2 linked regions of the Coturnix japonica genome follow. Each later gene encodes a partner of the first gene's protein in a complex. Links are inferred from orthologs where the notes say so. Each region holds a gene or a part of one and is shown on either strand. Other genes may lie near its edges.

What was found.
Region 2: the proteins of JARID2 (region 1) and AEBP2 are in contact, whole or in part, in a cryo-EM structure (PDB 8VNZ), measured with the Homo sapiens proteins. The link is inferred for Coturnix japonica from reciprocal best matches to the Homo sapiens genes JARID2 and AEBP2. Residues at the interface, in NP_004964.2 of Homo sapiens: Ser148, Lys151, Pro152, Lys153, Thr154, Glu155, Asp156, Leu158, Thr159; in NP_001107648.1 of Homo sapiens: Arg407, Ala410, Ile411, Asn414, Leu415, Glu420, Ser421.

Annotation. Positions count from the first base shown.
Region 1 is NC_029517.1:67,710,624-67,713,410, reverse strand, and holds the end of JARID2 (protein Jumonji), read left to right. Parts: intron 1-991; coding exon 992-1,168; 3' UTR 1,169-2,044; downstream 2,045-2,787.
Region 2 is NC_029516.1:59,182,179-59,186,003, forward strand, and holds part of AEBP2 (zinc finger protein AEBP2), read left to right. Parts: intron 1-2,482; coding exon 2,483-2,690; intron 2,691-3,825. UniProt on the Homo sapiens protein: Acts as an accessory subunit for the core Polycomb repressive complex 2 (PRC2), which mediates histone H3K27 (H3K27me3) trimethylation on chromatin leading to transcriptional repression of the affected target gene.

The sequences.
Region 1 (2,787 bases):
CTCTTAATCAGCACCACATAAAGTAATGACTGGTTTTATAATTACAAAGCAGGGATTTGGGGATTTCTTCCCCAAATGAAAAGACTCTCTCGATTTCTGCACTTCTGAAGGATACTCAGTGTAGGCCTGCTGGATGTTACATAATTTATTTTTGAGAGCTGTGAACAGGGAGAGAGAGAGCAATTCTTCACGTCAAATGCCATCTGTTAAACCTATTTAACTGTTAGCTGTGCTTTGCCCACAACCAACTTCTTAAGATTCCTGCCAGGAGGGGACATTCTCCCTTCACTCCAGACCTCACCGAGCCACTGACTGCAGCGAGAGCAGGAGTGGTGATGCAGCACAGGCACTGTGCTGTGCTGCTCAGGGACTCCTGTCTCGTTCTTACTGTATTGCCACGGACCCATAGCCCTGGGCCCTGTGTGGCACCAAGCACTAGCCTGGAGCACTTGGGGCATCCAGAGATCCTTAAAAGCAGTAACGGAAAATAGCATCCTGTAACAAATGGCAACAGTCTCAATAGGGAAAAGCAGGACCTTCTCCCTAAGTTTTAAATAAGTATTCAGTAAACAGCAGGTAGCAAGCGTTGCCACTTGCAGATTTCAGTAAGTTCATGGCATTTATGACTTTGCTCAGCAGTGGCCTTTAATCATGTCTGCAGCAAAGTTTTGGCTCTGCTGAGCTGTATCTGTGCAGCCCAGTGCTCAGCCTGGTGCAGTCCTGTCACCCATCGCTGACTCTGCACTCAGAGGCAGGAAACTACAGCAGGGGCACCATTCCAGGTATAGTGCACTGCTTCTTAGGCAGACCCCACCTGTGAAATAGTGGTCGTATGGGCTGCCGTGCAGTCAGTTAGCAAAGCAGCAGCTATTTCCCCCTGGTTATAGGTGCCGTCAACCAAAGGATGGCGCTACACCCGCTTTATCAAACAGAGGTGCTCGGAAAAAGGAAGGATGCTCACTTGTGTTTTGTTTTCCTACTTCCTGAACAGGAACAAATAATCAGTCTGGTCAATCAAATCTGTGGAAAAGTATCTGGTAAAAATGGCAGCATTGAGAACTGTATCAGCAAGCCCACACCAAAAAGAGGACCTCGGAAGAGAGCGACAGTCGACGTGCCATCATCCAGGCTTTCATCCTCCAGTTCATCCAAAAGTGCTTCAAGTTAATCCTGAAGATGCCAACACTCTCATTTTGTCAATTTATATATATTTTTTGTAATTATTATACCATAGTTTGGAGTACTTGCTGTAGAATACAAGCTGTCTTTGCACTAGCTCTAAAGAAGATTTTCTTCTGGTTTTAGAGAACTAATTTTGTTTTAGCATTAAACTGTTGGATTTCTTTTGTTTTTGTACTTAGGATAGGTAGATACAGCAGTCTGATTTTTTTAAACTGCCGTATGTTCACTGTTTTAAAAGCGGCGAGAGGGGCTGATCGATATTAATTTGTATTGACCCTGGGGCTGAGAAAATAAAGAAGCCTTTCTGGGAACTGGGGGAGGGGGTAAAAAAAACCAACAAAGGCTTTTAACCCATTTTTGACTAGGTTAAAGTTTTCTAATTTGTTCTCCGGTCACGCGAGCAGATTTTTCTAGAGCGAAAAGGGATGGGAGAGGAAAAAACAAAAACTTGAAAGAAATTGCTTTACTTTGGCTGTCTTTTATTCTGTCACAGCAAGTGGAGTTTTGTAATTTTTTAAATTGGAGGATCCACACTTACTTACTTACTTACTTTCTTTGGGAGGTTACGGCAGCTGAAGAAGGACTTTGTTTCCTAACTAACTGTAGGCAAAAGGAGGGGAGTTGGAGTATGTTCTCTTTTACCAGCACATCACTATGCATCTGTTTGGAGGGGGAAAATAATAAATAATAATAAAAAAATTTAAAAAAAAATTTAAAAAGAAAAAAGGAGGAAAAAAAAAGACTGCCTGCCTTGAGGAGTCACGTGAGGGAAAACTGTGCCTGATTTCATTAGGAAATCCATTCTGTTATTTTTTGGTGCTGTTGGCTACTTTATCAAAAAAACCCTTCAATAGCATCCTTTGGAAAGAAAAAAAACAAAACAAAACAAAAAAAAACAACAGAAAATAAAAAAAAAGTTTAAAAAAAAAAAAGTTAAAAAAAAAAAGTGATTGAAGCCATAAGTGCTTCTTTTGTCATAGACGTGCAATCTTTTGAACATTCCATTTCCATTCCACTGCTGTGTTTCACACCCTTCACACCGTTGAGCATTAATTTGTTTTGTCTGGGCTTCGTTTCACGATGCAATCACGTTTAGAGCCACTAGCAAGTCTGCGTATTTCTTTTGAATGTGAAAAAATGCATTTGCTTTCATCTTGTCTCTCTCTTTTTTTTTTTTTTTTCTCTTCGTGTTGTAACAAAAAAACAAACAAAAGAAACAAAAAAAAAAATCACCCCTTTTGTACATATGCCTGTAAATTTTTTTAAATACTTGAGCCTTTTCTTGGGGTGGGGGGAGGGGTGGCGAGGAGACGAGATGAAGAAAAGCCTTACGTTTCACTTTCTTCATCGGTTGGATTGGATGCTTACAGGGTTTTTCTTGTAACATTTATAAGTGCTGCTTACATCACTGAACAACAACAAAAAATAATAATGGAGTAGCTGTTGCCCTTTTCCGGTTGTGTGTACAGTATGTGTGGAATAAAAAAGGGAAAATGTTTTCACAAACTGTTTTGTTTCGTAATTGAATTCAACGATACCGTAGCTACCCCATATTGCACTGAGCTTGCCAGTGGTGACTGTCAGGAAAGTCCTATACTACGATTT
Region 2 (3,825 bases), on another chromosome or scaffold:
GGAACCTCGGCTACTACTTGTACAGAAGAAAGAAGGTGGGGTTAGATGTGGGGCGTGGAAAGCTGTACATGTGCAGGATATAGAAAAGGGAACAAAATAAACAAGGGGCATATGGGAAAATGTTGCATAGCAGAAAGAAGCCATTGTGTCTTTTGTGGAGAGAAGGTGTGCCGTGTAAAGGGTTAGTCTTTTTTATGAAATTGAAAAATAGATGATGGTTATTTGTATAATATTTAGCAAATTCATGTTTGATAGACTTCTATAAAAGCAAAAACCTGTTGACAAGGTCTAACTGGAAGTGAAGGGAGTCTGCTACCTTAACATGAAATTTCATATTGACAAACAGAGTGAAATGCCTATGGTTGAGAAGGGGTGAAATATGAACAAGCGAAATTGCAATTTTGCAATGAGGAAAGAGATGGTAGCTAGCAGTGGTTAAAGGAACAAAGGAGTATGATGAAATGAGTTCCCTAAGCCAGGTTGGATGGGGCCCTGGGCAGCCTGGCCTAGTATTAAATATGGAGGTTGGTGGTGGGGGATTTGGAGATTCACGATCCTTGAGGCCCCTTCCAACCCGGATCATTCTGTGATTCTGTGAAATTATTTTAAAGCAGAAGAGCAAATGTGCTGGTTATACCCTCAAATTTTGACTAGTGGTACAGTTTTTGTTTCATCCATGTCAAAATATGTTAAAGAATGATAGTGAGTATGGCATCAGAAATATGGAGCAACATTTCCTTTAAAGTAATGCCATTTGATTTTTATTTTTTCCATGCATTTTACTCAGAAGACTGTAAAGACACTTAGGTAAATACCACTGCCACGTACTAGACTGTACTAGAAAAGGTATATCTGTTAGGTCAACAGAAGTAATAGTTCCTCTTTACCTGGCACTTTTGAAACTGCATCTGGATTACTCTATCCATTTGGACATATGCCTCTCAGGGACATACTGGAAAGCCTCCAGTGGAGTGCCTCCAGGCTGGTTAGAAAGCTGAAGTAAATGCTGTGCTTGGAGAGGCTGAGAGGCTGGGGTTTCTTCAGTTTTAGAATAAGAATGGGAGGGTTATTGCTGTTTTATTACTGATAAGGAATGCATAGCAAAGGAAGGGCTGGAGTTGTCAACTGTAAAGTGAAGAAGATGATGGCAGACTAAAGTTGGAACACTAGAAATTCTGATGAGATGTTAGGAAATTTTTCCCTTTTTCCACAATGAGGTTAATAAGATGTTTGAGAAAACGATTTAGAATGGTAGCAGAAACTTCCCATTAAAAAGTAGAAGGTACTGGCAATCTTTTTAAGATAAAAGAGGGAAGATTTAGGTTGGATGTTAGGGGGAAGTTCTTCACTAGGAGAGTGGTTAGGTCCTGGAACAGGCTGCCCAGGGAGGTTGTGGATGCCCCGTCCTTGGAGGTGTTCAAGACCAGGTTGGACGGGGCCCTGGGCAACCTGATCTAGTAAAGGCGTATGTTTGGTGGCCCTGCCAGGCAGGGGGGTTGGAACTACATGATCCTTGAGGTCCCTTCCAAACCAGGTCACTCTGTGATTCTGTGGTCTTATTTGCTGCTGTTTGAGCAGGAAATTTGACTAATTAGCTCCCTGAGATCCTTTCAAAGATGAGCTGTCCTCTGATTCTGTGGCTTTATGGAAGACAAACGTAAAGGGTTCTAAAAGACAACGAGCTTCTTTACTAGGTTTAAAAAAAGGGCATGTCCGTAGTTATTTAATTTTTATCCAGGAACAACATCCTCCTACCTCTATAATTCTTTGTAATTCTTACATTAATATGAAATGAGCACCACAGTTTTTTTGTTTTGTTTTTTTTTTCTGGTCCAGTTTCATGCTCAGTTCTGTGTCTGTCATGATTCATAACAGACCATCTGATAAAAATGACCCTGCTGTCCATATGTTCCCAACAGTTGCTGCTAATTGCTTTACAAAAGTTTACTTCCCCAGTCCTCCCCACACCCCTTTTCCCCCCCACCCTCAAAAAAACCCACACAAAATCACCAAAAACTGCCAAACCAACAACCCCAAACAAGGTCAAATGGTTAATTTAATCTGTGTGTGTGATAGTCATACTACCAGAGCAAGGAATTAAGTGTGGGAGTCTTCAACATCCTGTAAAACGTCAGGGTCAGTTGTGAATGTAGGTGTGGATACATCTCTGGTCTGACCACACATGCTTTCCCCTCATCCCCTGAGTAAAAATGTGCCTTAGAAGTAGCTGCAACCACACAAGATTTTCTGGCAAGTTAGTGAGTGGGATAAAACTTTCCAGCTCTGTCTTTTGTTGCTGTTGTCCAGGTGTTACACAGTAGAGTGATAGTGGCTGTTGCCTGGCTGAATGCTTTATTTTAGGTGATGAATCATAATTGATAATGTTAAGATATTCTTTTTGACCTAAATGTATCTGATACAATGCCATAAAGTTAAATGGAACAAGTAAAGTGTGTAACAAACACGAACTTTCTTCTTACAGCATAAGCAGCACTATTATGGATGTAGACAGCACAATTTCCAGTGGACGTTCAACTCCGGTGATGATGAATGGACAAGGAGTTCCTGCCTCCTCTGCAAAAAGCATTGCTTATAACTGTTGTTGGGACCACTGCCACGCTTGCTTCAGCTCCAGCCCGGATTTGGCAGATCATATTCGCTCCATACATGTGGATGGTCAGCGAGGAGGGGTTGGTGTTATTTCTTTTCTTCTTTATTTACTGATATTGCACTTCTTAATGATAGTAGTAATTCTGTGTTATAAAATATCAGTGCTTTAGCCAGTGACAACTGAGATTAGGCCCTCGGCAATGTGGTATTGGGTATTCAGCTGTTGTGTTTTAAACAATTCACTCTATTTTTCCATTCTATGGTTTTGATTGAATGGCTAGCTGTAAGAAAATATGTTCTTAATAAAGTAATTGAATCTATTGAAATTTTAATAGATTTAGCAATTTCTCAGCATCCTGATATGCTGTTTTTTTAAATAGAAATACTTGGAATTAATTTTCTCGTAACTTCTAGTGTATGTGCTACTGCGTGTTAACTCAGGCTAAGTCACATCTTGTTTGTTTTTACAAATGGGAGTCTTGTTATTAATAAAATATATATGGGTAGATATAAGAAGTAAGACTGGTTGTCTTGGAAGTATGAGTCTTAGCAGAACAGTTCTGTTTGTAGTACTGGTGGCAGGTCTTACACCTTCAATGTGACTGCACCTAGTTTATTTTGTTTTTAACTGAAGTATGTATTTAAGTTTAATATCTGGTTAAGTGGTGTGGTTTTGGTAGGTCTCACAATTTTAAGGTTTTAAATAATCTCTAAGTAGTGTGATATTAACTCTGCACTTCTCCAGTTGTGTCATTGTGACTCATTGGCTGCATTTAGTTCATGTTAATTGTTATGGCTGAACTTCCAGCTTGATATTTAGTGACTTTTTTCAGTCCAAACTCCAGGCAGAATCATCTGACCAATGTGCCAGCTTCTTAGTCACCCACGAGACAGACTTTTGTAGTTCTGTTTGTGGGTTTATAAACGTGTTACGTGTATCCTGGATGAAACAATTAAGTGGATGAGATGTATCAGTATCCTGTGGGATTTCATATAAATGCATCTTTGGTGACCTTTGTCCCACCCGTGACCCCTTAGAAAGAGATTGAAAAACCTGAAAAATGTTTCATGCTTACGTTTGGTGTGATTTGTGGATATTTTTACTTAGAAAACGTCACTGTATTCATCTTTCTGAAAGAGACAGCTGTAGGTAACGCTGTGTGCCTGATTATTGTGTTCAGTTCACACTCCTTTTATTCCCCCTGGTGGAGTTGA